Arabidopsis thaliana: one gene and its partner. The protein of the gene in region 1 interacts with the protein of each later gene in a pairwise test. Each region holds a gene or a part of one and is shown on either strand. Other genes may lie near its edges.

The links.
Region 2: the proteins of IDD5 (region 1) and MBD02 interact in a two-hybrid assay, tested with the Arabidopsis thaliana proteins (one large-scale study listed by BioGRID).

The regions. Positions count from the first base shown.
Region 1 is NC_003071.7:503,384-511,504, forward strand, and holds IDD5 (indeterminate(ID)-domain 5), read left to right. Parts: upstream 1-1,991; 5' UTR 1,992-2,139; coding exon 2,140-2,323; intron 2,324-2,584; coding exon 2,585-2,981; intron 2,982-4,543; coding exon 4,544-5,771; 3' UTR 5,772-5,847; exon of another isoform or gene 5,848-6,082; intron 6,083-6,314; 3' UTR 6,315-6,709; intron 6,710-7,113; 3' UTR 7,114-7,398; downstream 7,399-8,121. UniProt on the Arabidopsis thaliana protein: Transcription factor acting as a positive regulator of the starch synthase SS4. Controls chloroplast development and starch granule formation. Binds DNA via its zinc fingers.
Region 2 is NC_003076.8:13,522,687-13,527,850, reverse strand, and holds MBD02 (methyl-CPG-binding domain protein 02), read left to right. Parts: upstream 1-2,052; 5' UTR 2,053-2,230; exon of another isoform or gene 2,231-2,575; 5' UTR 2,576-2,580; coding exon 2,581-3,026; intron 3,027-3,131; coding exon 3,132-3,185; intron 3,186-3,603; coding exon 3,604-3,761; intron 3,762-3,965; coding exon 3,966-4,126; 3' UTR 4,127-4,448; downstream 4,449-5,164. Other genes in the region: AT5G35320 (DBH-like monooxygenase), read right to left, coding at 4,707-5,086. UniProt on the Arabidopsis thaliana protein: Probable transcriptional regulator.

The DNA of each region.
Region 1 (8,121 bases):
GAAGCAAGAAGCTCATAGAAATTTACTTCAAAAATTGACCTCAAACGACAAGCTAAAAGAGGTGAAGTTCTTTTTCCTATCTTTTATTTTAAATATGGCTCTGTTTATATATCTATATTTATATATTACTTACTGTTGATTTGAAAGAAATTTTCTATTCGAATATGTATGTGAGAGGAAAGGATATGGTTCAAGTGTCATTGTTATCGGGAATGGCAAATTATATTCCTTTCCTCAAAAAATTTAGCATAACAAAACTAATTATCCATCATATAAAAACAATCACATCGTATTTGTTTTCTATTGTCTTATGCTAAACAAGTTTTATATATAACTCATGCTCACGTTAACGAAGACCCATACAAAAATGGGTTGATTTTCTTGATCTCCTTCATTGGAGAACATGACTGATTTTCAATAGTCACTAAAGTATATACATAGATATATACTATATAGTTGTTTTTGATATTTTAAATGGATAAAAAAAAAGATGACGGGATCTATCATTTGGGAAATTATTCATAGATTTATTTAAATAGTTCCTAACTAATTGCTTGAATATGGGAAGAGACGACGAAATATAGTTAAAAAATTGGAGTATCCTTTTTGGTTTTTACTTTACCATATACATGAAAAATATATACAATCATTCTTCTTTTTGTCTTCTTTTATCTTTGGAATATTTCTTTTCACATTCAATCTTCCATGACACACAGACAGACATATATATATGTGTGTATGTATGATATGATAGGAACTTTTTAAAACCAAAAAAGAGAGACCCATATGAGATGATGATGACGATTGAGACAAATAATTATTTTGACAATTTAAGAAAAACATAAGATGCTTTGTGGATTAACTTTTGAAAATTCAAGAAATCTGTCCCTATATATATGAAAACATTAGCTTTAGAATACAATTTTATGAGATTTATTTAGTTTATAGTTTATAGTTTTAAATTTATATTTATGTGTTATTAAAATTGTAAAATTATATGAAAACATAGTCGCTTAGTTTTACAACCGCTAATTTATTTCAAACTCAAAATATTATATTTTTATTCCTTCTTCGGTTACGTATTTTTCTTATGAGATATTATATGGTCAAACATTTAAAATTAGTTAAATGTTACATACACACAAATTCCAACATTTTCATTTCTTTTTAAGGAAAAAACCATTTCATTTCTTTAAGATATATAAAACCAAAAAAATTATGTTTTTATATAGCTTAGATCGTGATGCTAAACTTTTCTTGTAAGAGCAATCTCGTATAGATATTTTATGTTAGTGTCAAATATCTTCTTCTACAATTTCTAAAGTCATATTACACTATGGTAATTGTTTTCTAAACCCTTTTAGATCCAAAAAAAAAAAAACTTGAAATTTATTATTCACATATGTTAGCGAGAGAGAGGAGCTGTTGAGGGTTGTCTCACGCACCATCCACTGTCGTTTTGTGGCAAATGGATTGGGTCCACCGACCTCTGTAGCTCTCATAGTTTCTTTTTTTTCTAAAATTAATTACATATTTAGAAAAAATGATATCAAAAATAATTAATAGCTCTGTATATGTGTTAGTGTCTACAGGCGACACCAAAATTATATAAATATTCTTATTTAAATGCGTTACAAACAAAAGAAAAATTATATAAAATTTTACAAATAAATGTATAGAGTTTTTAGTATCATATGTATCATACATATGAAATTAGAGCTATACCAAACTAACCAAGCTAGATTTAAATTCAGTTTGATTATCTTACCCTATTTTTTTAACCGAATATGAACTTTTAACACTCTAGGCTATAACATTGGGTGGTGACTTATATTTCTTCTTTCTTTTTACTAGCCTACACTCTTTTTCACCTGTCACTTTCAACTTCTCTCTTCTATTACCTCACAAGAATTTCTATGTTTTTTTAATAATTTTATATCTATTAAAAAAAGTATAACCAATTAATTAAAAATCTGGAATATCCCAATTTTAGGGCTTTATTGAGATAAGATATCAGTGGAAGTCAAAAAAGAATTTAATGTTAAAGAGTTTCTTCTCTCTAATTTCATTTCATTTCTCTTTTTTTTTTTCTTTTTCTTCTTTCTCTCTCTCACCATCACATAGAACACAGAAGAATCCATGGCTGCTTCTTCATCCTCCGCTGCTTCCTTCTTTGGAGTCCGACAAGATGACCAATCTCACCTCCTCCCACCTAATTCCTCCGCCGCTGCTCCTCCTCCTCCACCTCCTCACCACCAGGCACCGCTGCCACCGCTTGAAGCTCCACCGCAGAAAAAGAAGAGAAACCAACCAAGAACTCCAAGTAAGTTAATTACCTCTTAATTCAAATCTTTTATAATCATGTGATCATTTCTTAAAAGAACTTATTGATTGGTGAAAAAGATAAATCCCTTTTCCATGTCCTTTTTTTTCTTCTCCCTTTTACATTTTTTAAAATCTTGAAATAAGCAAATTAGCAAACCCTAGCTTGTAGTTGGTTTTTCAAAATTCAGATTTCAATCAATTTATCTTCCATGCAATATAAGACTTTTAAAATTTAGTTAATAATTTTCCTCTTGATTAGATTCCGATGCGGAAGTGATAGCTTTATCTCCAAAGACACTAATGGCTACAAACAGATTCATATGTGAAGTATGCAACAAAGGGTTTCAAAGAGAACAGAATCTACAACTTCACCGAAGAGGACACAATCTTCCATGGAAGCTCAAACAGAAATCGACCAAAGAAGTGAAGAGAAAAGTGTATCTTTGTCCGGAGCCCTCGTGCGTCCACCATGACCCGTCACGTGCTCTCGGAGACCTCACCGGAATCAAGAAACATTATTACCGTAAACACGGTGAAAAGAAGTGGAAATGCGATAAATGCTCTAAGCGTTACGCTGTTCAATCGGATTGGAAAGCTCACTCCAAGACTTGTGGTACCAAAGAGTATCGTTGTGACTGTGGTACACTCTTCTCTCGGTTAGTAATCCAAATCTTTCAAACTCTTTAAATTATAATTTAATCTATTGAGCTGCTATAGTGATATGTGTGTGAATATGTGTCTGTGAGTCATTCTTCATGAATTAGGGTTTTTTTTAGGTTCACTTTCTGTTTCGCCTCGAAGTCTTCGATGCTCTTATCGCTTTCTTTCGTGCAGTAAATGCAACTTTAGTTTTTTTTTTCTTTTTTTTTTTATAAAAAAAAATGATACAAGAACACACGTGAATGTGTGTGTGTGTCTATATAACTATATCTATAGATGACACTGAAACTGCCATATTTCAATAGATGCTTTCTAGCAGAAACTCAAAACCAAAGAGGACCAATTTCAATTTCAGTTTTTTTTTTAAATATTCTTTTGCCTTGGAAACACCGCCCTATTTTCTGTCATAAAAATAAATTAATATATTTTTCTCAGGATTTTTTTTTCTTGGATATGAAATTATACTTATACTATATGGGCAATTCACGTGCTGCTAAACTATATAATATCTAGGGAGGTTGTTGTTACAGTGTTTGTTCTCTTATGTGTAAAATTTTACGAAAATACAATTATTTCATATGATTCGTTTGTACTCTGTACCATAGCCACATATTAGTTTGGTTCACTACTCTACACATTTTGCATAAAATGGCATAAATTTGCATAGACGTGATAACTAATAGACTAAATAATTATTTCGAATATAGAGTTTTTTTCTCAGTCTTGGCTGGCATTGCTGTGTTTGTGTGTGTGCGTGCATTTAGAGGAGTTCTATAAATAGAATGAAGTAAATAAATATGTGGTGCTGCAAATATATATAAGTAGCTAGTTTTCTTAAATAAAAATATAAGTAGTTCATTGAATACATGCTCAACTTGCATTTATTGAACATACAAGATCTTGAATTAGGACAAACTCAGATATTCATTTGACAATCATTCTCTATACATTAGTGTGAAACTTAACTTTTTCCACCTACCTTTGGAATTCGTTGAATACCACATTAATTTATTATATAGATAGCTATATTCATAGTTTCATACATAAATTATAGTGAATTAAGCATAATAGTTTTCCGGAGTTGATTAATAATGTTTATGTTTATTATTATTGCATAAACTGATATTGATAAGAGTTAGATTTGTTCGTACACATAGTCATATAGACAAATACATCATCATAGTTGAAATGTGACACAACATTGTACTCCTATTTATGTGTATGCGTGCAATTTTATTGTATGCATCAAACATGTGAGTGTGTAAGCTTGTTAAGAGTTTACACAGGTGAATAATAATATGATGTATAATAGAGTAGTAGAGTGACTTTCTAGCCATCTATCTACTTTTCAAGATCCCATAATTACACGCGAATCTATTTGTAGCTACGTGACATGATGAGTCTCTCTCTCTACTTACATTTATATTTTTTTTCTTTCACTTTTCCCAAAATATGTCTTTTATTTCATCATTTTATATGAATAGTATAGAGATATATCTGACGATCCAATAGATTCCATTGTGAAATTGATTTTTATTTATTTTATTTTGTGTCACAGGCGAGACAGTTTCATCACACATAGAGCTTTCTGTGACGCGTTGGCTCAAGAGAGTGCGAGACACCCAACTTCATTGACTTCTTTGCCAAGTCATCACTTCCCGTACGGACAAAACACAAACAACTCCAACAACAACGCTTCAAGCATGATCCTTGGTCTGTCCCACATGGGGGCCCCACAGAATCTTGATCACCAGCCCGGTGACGTTCTCCGTCTTGGAAGCGGAGGAGGAGGAGGAGGAGCCGCTTCACGCTCTTCTTCTGATCTCATTGCTGCGAATGCTTCAGGCTACTTCATGCAAGAGCAAAACCCTAGCTTTCATGATCAACAAGATCATCATCATCATCATCAACAAGGGTTTTTGGCTGGGAACAATAACATCAAGCAATCACCAATGAGTTTTCAACAGAATCTGATGCAGTTCTCACATGATAACCATAATTCTGCTCCCTCCAATGTCTTCAATCTCAGCTTCCTCTCCGGAAACAACGGAGTTACTTCTGCCACAAGTAACCCTAATGCTGCCGCCGCTGCTGCTGTTTCTTCTGGTAATCTTATGATATCAAACCATTATGATGGCGAAAATGCTGTTGGAGGAGGAGGAGAAGGAAGCACTGGTCTCTTCCCTAACAATCTGATGAGCTCGGCAGATAGAATTAGCTCAGGATCAGTCCCTTCACTCTTTAGCTCATCAATGCAAAGTCCAAATTCAGCACCTCACATGTCAGCCACTGCCCTTCTACAGAAAGCTGCTCAAATGGGTTCAACCTCAAGCAACAACAACAACGGAAGCAACACCAACAACAATAACAATGCCTCATCGATCCTAAGAAGCTTTGGGAGTGGAATCTACGGAGAAAATGAGAGTAATCTTCAGGATTTGATGAATTCTTTCTCTAACCCCGGCGCAACGGGAAACGTTAACGGAGTTGATTCTCCTTTTGGTTCGTACGGAGGAGTGAACAAAGGATTAAGCGCTGACAAACAGAGCATGACTAGAGACTTTCTTGGAGTTGGACAGATCGTAAAAAGCATGAGTGGAAGCGGAGGGTTTCAACAACAGCAACAACAGCAACAGCAGCAACAACAACAACAACAACATGGAAATAGTAGAGAAAGAGTTGGCTCGTCGTCGGATTCCGCTGATAGAAGCAGCATGAATGTGAATACCGGAGGTGGTCCGGCAAGTACTTCACCACCTTATGGAATCCATCATGCGAGTTTCTAAGAAGATAAAAGAAGTTTCTAAGGAGAAATTTTAAAAAAGGTTTTTAGTTCATCAAAGTACATGCTATATCTTTCAGGTATGCATGTCGTCATCAAAACCCCATTTGAAGTAATTAAAATTTTAGTTGCAATTTATCTAAACTCAGTTCTTTTTTTTTTTTCTTTTGTAAAAGATTTTGCCTTTCATTGTTTATATAAAATGGATTCCCTCCTGAAAAAAACAAATTTCAGAGTTATAGTTTATGGTTTCACAATGAAGAAATTTTCATATTATTATCCGTAGATTTTTTTCTTCTTGCCTTGTGACATATTAGATACTTTAAGAAATTCAATATATTTCTGGCTTATAGTTTTAGAGTCAATGCTTAGTCTTTGTTCTTGTATGTATTATTTCTTATAGGGTCAAAGGCTAAAAACAACATTATACTAACGGGTTTAACTATAAAAAATTTGGGTGTGAATAATTGTTTTTGATAGGAAAAAAATGTTTTTTTATATTTGTTTTTGGCTGACACATTTATCGTCTTATCATTGCATGGGGCAGTCAATGAGTTGGAGAGTACAAGCAGCCTTTGCTAAGTTTTTATTTGTCTTTTTGTTTTCATTTTCTTTTATTTGCCTTTTTATTCTTTAATTTCTTTTCATTTGTCATCTTCACTAGCTGGCAATGTCACGAGTGTTTGTCCTGTGATCTCCTTTCTAAATATCTCGATACATGTATACATATACATGTCACATAGGTGTCACATGTGCATATATTTATGCATTTGTATAGTTCTGTATGTAACATGTTCCTACCATATCCTCAAAGGATTGTCCCCATCATATTTTAAATTTGACGGTCCAAAATAAACAATTCTGTCTCAACATTCACGCGTCTTCATTATTGATGCTAATTTGCGGTTAAAAGTTGTAGCATCAATTGAAACTGCATCTAAGGTACAATTTCGATTTTTGTATGGAATCGTGTATATATTAGAATACATAAGAATTACAGTTTTAGTTTTTAAATTTTGTTGTTACTATTTTTTTTAGATTGGATATTGTATTGTCTCTTACAAATATAACTATTCAAATGATTTAATAGAACTTCATTCAAGTATTTTGATATTTCGGTGTATGATGGTTGATATTTTCTTGGATTTTTAGCTAGTTTTAGATATTTTTTTTGTTAGAGATTTATTCTATTGGTGTGCGTATGTGAACATATCATTACACTATTGTGAGTGACAACATCTACAATTGTTGAAATAACGATATTAATAATGGTAATATAATGTCTTTGTCGTAATAATTTATAAGGGGAATAACAATAATAGTTAAATTTCGTATATATAATGTAGGGACATACATGCAAGTGATGGAAGTAAGGAGGCCCATCGACATGAAACGAGAGGGAGAGATTATATCGTTGTCTCACCAAAAACAGACAGCTCTTCTCTCATCTTCTTAATTTCCCCTGTTTCTTTTTCTGTTCTAAAATTGTTTTGCTTATAACCTATTTTTTTCTTGGTTAAATAATCCATGTAGAGAAAGTAGATTTTTACCATCAACGACACCCTGCTTTAAAATTAAAAGCGTAAATTTGTTATATTTTATCGTTCAATTCTATCTTTTGTAAACTAATGCACATTTACCAATTGGTTATTTTAATTTTTTTCGTCAATTTACCAATTGGATGTTTTATTCATGAATCTGAATGTTTTGTTTGTAGTAAGCTTGTGCAAAACTCTTTACAAAGAGCATGTATATTTTTGAAATTAATTGATTTTTTAGAAAAAAAATTGTTTTAAAAAATTATTTTTTTAGGTTCTCTATACACTATTTATTAGTTATCCCTTTATTATTAAAAGGGAAGTACAAATTGAAATTTTGTCTAATTTGGCCTCAATTTTGATTTTAATTTTAGATTTTGTTCTTTGCTATTTAAAATCATTAAGGATAATTTGGTCTTAACAATCTCCTAAACTTTATATGATCCGATTGAATCTAAACCGTTCAATAAAATTAATTCCCTTTTAATCTAAACCGTTCAACAAAAATAATATACAAATCATATATTACGATTCTTCACTAATCACTAAAAATTTATATTTATAAGTTTAGGATATCAAATTTATTCAAATATTTAGTATAAGAACCAAATAAACCGATTGCCCGCGGTAAATTGCGGGTTAAAACCTAGTTATTAATGAATTTTAAACTTCAAGATAAATAATTGAATATCATTGGTTTAAAATTATAGAAAAATATAAATCACAAAAATTAATACATTATTTTTAATATAATTTTTATATTTTTAATTTTTTTTTTAATAGGTGTATTTTTCTAAAAAACTAATTTAAAAAAAC
Region 2 (5,164 bases), on another chromosome or scaffold:
ACCATCATCCCTGCTCACTCGCCTCTTACGTGGAAGGTACTTTGAAACAACAAATATTCTGAATGCAAGAACCGGAGGAAGCCCTCTTTCATTTGGAGATCCATTCTAGAAGGACGAGACCTCCTGCAGCAAGGACTTCGAATCCTTATAGAAGATGGCAAACAGACAAACATATGGACTGATTCATGGCTTCCAACACACCCACCAAGACCACCTCAAAAACGTGATGCGACGGTCACCAATCATACACAAGTCAAGCACCTAATGCAAGATGGCAGAAACATGTGGAATAAAGAAGTAATAGAAGAACTCTTTGAAGCAGATGAAGCACGATTGATACAAGGTTAAGATTAAGATCACAACCGTCCCCTGATGTACTAGGCTGGAACTACACAAAGCATGGGGAATACACATTCAAATCAAGTTATTGGCTCTGTACACATCTACCGAATCAACAACATGATTATGTTCCCCCACCAGGTTTACCCGAGTTTAAGAGAGTAGTATGGAAGCTAGACACGACACCAAAACTAAAGCACTTCATGTGGCGGATAGTAACTCAATCATTGGCGACAGGCGAGGCCTTGACACGACGACATATCATTTCAGATTCACAGTGTAAACGATGTTGTGCAGCTCCTGAAACATTAGAACGCCTATTCTTTGGATGCCATTATGTTCAAGCTATTTGGAGGGGCTCTCCGGTGTCACATACAGCGTTTTTCAATCCACACTTACCTTTTGAAGATAAATTCAGATTAATCCTTCAATGCTGTACTGATACGAGACAAGACCATATCACAAGACAAATACCTTTATGGATGTTGTGGCACATATGGAAGAGCAGGAATTTGTTAGTTTACCAGCGAAAAGGGAGTAATTGGCAAGATGATGTACAAAAAGCGATAACAGACTCATATGAGTGGATTCCTCTGCAGCGAGACACACAACGACGAAGTCTAAATGACAGAAGCGGGCAAGGGTAGCAAAAACCTATTCACGGCTTTATCAAATGCAATTATGACTGCAGTTTCTCAAGGAATGATCTAGCACCAAAGGCTGGTTGGATTTTACGAATTGACACAGGCAGTTATCTACTTGCGGCTCAAGGTACAAGACAACTATGCAACTCAGTGCTAGAAGCGGAACTACAGGCTCTCTTGATGGCAATGCAACATACATGGAGTAGAGGATATCGAAAGATTATATTTGAAGGTGATAATAGGACTGTGGAAAGCTTACTCAATGGGAACACAAGGAATTTTGAACTTCATAACCTCGTCATGGAGATACAACATTGGCGGAAGAAGTTTTCTACTGCCATTATCAAATGGTCTTTCCGGTCAACTAACAAAGCAGCTGATCGATTAGCTAAAGTGGAGTTAGAAAACATTGTTACTTTTGTCTCTCATTCTTATGTACCTCTGTTTCTTGTACAAATCCTCCATAGGATTACACATCATCCCTCTAATAAAGTATATCTGTTAATGTTAAAAAAAAATAAAAAAAAAAGAATCGGTTATTTTCGGGTTTTAAACTTAAAAACCAAAGAAACCAATATCCGAATCGAACCGAACCGTAATAAATTTCGGTTAGTTTCGGAAGAATTTTCAAAAATCCAAAATAACCGAAACCCGAAATAACCGACTCGGTTCGGTTCGGTTTACCCGAAGTCGCAGGCCTAATATTTTATATCAACAATTGACATATATTTTGACCCAAAAAAAAAAAATCAACAATTGACATATATTTGTTTTTATTAAAGTTTAATTTACATATTATGGAAGTCTCAAAATATTTGTTAAACAATGGCAAATATTTGTTAGACATATTTCATCTATTTAGCATGCACAACACGAATCCATATCTAATATTAGAAAGAATTATCCTTTGATTCTTTTTTTCTGAAGGAAATTTTGATTAATGGTAAGATTTGTTTATAAGCCCAAAAGCACAAATATTCTCCTACTTATAGCATGATATATTTTGAAGTGAATGTAAATTAAGAATTATTTTCGTAACAACAAATTTTATATTTATACAAAATAAATTAAATTCAGTTTCTTTCTCTCTTCTCTTTCTCGGTTTCCCCATTTTCTATCTAGACAAAGAGTGTTGTCTGAATTGGCTCTGTCTCAAAAAATGAAATTCTCAAATTAACCACAACGATCTTTAGAGCCTTCTTCGCTCACCGATCTCTGAAACCCTGGTTTGCTCTCGTCCTCTTCGTGTAACGATTCTTCTTCTTGATAAATTTTTAATCTTTGTTTCGGCTTTTCGATGAAATTGTTTTTTTTTTGGATCTCGTCTCTATCAGCTCATGTTCTTCTTTGATTATATGATAATTGTTGTTTCCTTTGCTCTGTTTTATGATTATTGTTGATTTTTGAGATTGAAATGTTCGAGGGTTTCTACTGTTCACTGTTCTTTACACGTATCAATGTTTTCTTGATCATGTTCTCTTATGATGTTAATAGAGAGACTAGTGTTATTGTGATGAATGATTCTTGTTAACTAAATTTGTCATTTTTGTTTTCACTTGACATTCATTTCTCTAACCATTTATTATAGGTAGTTTCTATGAGTATGTCGCAGTCTCGAGCTGTCCAAAGATCGTCTTCACCTAATGAGGATAGAGGTGAGAATCAGTTAGTGGTTTATGACTTGAAAGGAAATGATGATACTGAAGAAGAAGTTCTACCGGTTCAATCTCAGCCTTTGTCATCTAGAACACAGTGTCCCTCTATCGGGGCATTTACGGTTCAGTGTGCAAGTTGTTTCAAATGGAGACTCATGCCTTCAATGCAGAAGTATGAAGAGATTAGGGAACAGCTTCTTGAAAACCCGTTTTTCTGCGATACAGCGCGTGAGTGGAAGCCGGATATTTCTTGTGATGTTCCTGCTGATATCTATCAAGATGGAACTCGTCTTTGGGCTATTGATAAACCGAATATCTCTCGTCCACCCGCTGGCTGGCAACGTTTACTGCGGATTAGAGGTGAAGGAGGTACCAGATTTGCTGATGTGTATGTCGTTCGTTAACTCTTCTCTCATTTATGTTAATATTAGTCTTTCTTCTTTATACCATTGTATTGGCTTTCTTTATCATTCTTTTATCTTGGTTGTTTCAGTTATTATGTTGCTCCGTCTGGAAAGAAGCTTCGATCAACTGTGGAGGTCCAAAAGTTAGTTTCTCTACCACTCCATTTCCACATTTTCGTTTTCACATTTAACAAAGTGTTCCTTACTTTTATGTTTGATGAGGTCTCACTGTATCAGTCTTACCATTTTCGTCAACCAATATATTGAATCAGTAGGAACCTCAAGTATTGTTCTGTGGTCATAACTAGAGTTAGGCACTTATGCAAATTACAGAAATCCTTGCATGTGTTTTGTTTACTAACGAAAATGTACTATGCCAAGAAGTTAGTTAAACTATCATCCTTATTTCCATGATACTTCCCTGCAGCATTTGAGAGTGACAACAATGGTAGGAGAAAAAAGCTTAGTGACTTACCAATTCGTTTAGTGATTACCAAATTGTTTTCAGTGACGTATAGCTAGCTTCTTTACACCCTTATAACCACTATTACTGGTTTGCAGGTACTTGAATGACAACTCCGAATACATTGGAGAAGGGGTGAAACTTTCACAGTTCTCGTTTCAAATCCCGAAACCGCTGCAGGATGACTACGTGAGGAAGCGCCCAGCTCGACTACTGGATTCCATCGATAATACAAACACCCCTGTAGCTAAAGAAGGTGTGTTGCTTATCAAGGCACATAAATATAATTGTGGTTATCTTTTGTATCAAGGCTTTAGATTATTGATGTCATTTTTTCAGTCAAGAGTGTATTTGACGTATACTCGAACCGAACATTGGTGTCTTTAGGGAACTTTATTAACATGAAAACGTCTATGCTTTTACAAGTTTCTAACATTTCGCTTGTCTTGTTATTTTTCAGCTAATCCACTGGCATGGATATCTCCAGATGATCATATATCGTTGCAGCTAGGTACGCCAACCGAGTCTGGACTTAACAATTCACATTACCAACCATCGAAAAAGAAAAAAACATCGACGCTATCAATCTTTGGCTCCAACGACGAACTTGCTGATAGATAATCTAGCTAGACGAGAGTGAACTTATCTCGTCTTCTCTGGTATATAACCCGTCTTCTTTCTTCGTTTTTTGGGTTTGTCTTATCGAAGAAACTGAAAGCATGTGGTTAGCTTGTTTTTTGTGTATACCATCTATTTTGTTTTGCAGTGTAACATACTTTCTATGAAGAAGATGGGTCCTTTTGGTTTTTGCTTCCAAATAACTGGATTTTCATGCTGAAAGTTTTTAAACCTAAAGTTTGATTATTACCAAATTCCATTATCTCACAAATCCACTAGAGGACTGACACAAGAAAGCAGATAAGAATAGATCAGAGTCTGTTTAACTGTAGATGTGCATGTTAAGTTGGAACGTAGTTTATCTCAAAGGATATTTTAACGACATCCAAAAGATAACATTCGAAAGTCAAAACCATCCTAGGGGAGATATGGCTGAAGCTATTAGTTTGGTAAACATACAACAACAAAACTATGCCATATCTCTAATCTGCGCAAAAGGCAGAAACAAAAACTAACAACAAATCTGCCTTCTACTATCCTGCTTCGTGCATTCCCTATTCAGTTTTCCCGTGGTTAAGCCGTATCATCGGAACCAAGTGATGGGAGTGGGAGTAGTACTGACTTGAGGAAGCTGCGGAATCATACAGTTTTGCGCTTGCTGCCACGGATGCAAGCCAAAACCATAGGTGTGCTCTTGCTCTTGCTGCTGTCCTTGCTGAGGGAAAGATAGACTGGTGCTTCCAGTATCCTCTTCTATCTCATTGGATGCATCATCCATTACCACATCCTCACCTGTCTCATCCAACTCAGTAATCTCTAGTGTCCGCGGTTGTTGGAAGGTTCCTATGGACTGTGAGTAAGTAGACTGAGACGGATTCCAGCAAACAACAGCTTGACACTTGTTTAATCTCTCATCTTCATACTGATTATCATCAGCTATCGATACATCGCGAAGAAATCTATCTGCACAAGTGTTAACATTCAGAATTTAGACACAACCGTCTGTATTTAGTCAACATTCTGGATCACAAGTTAAAGGCA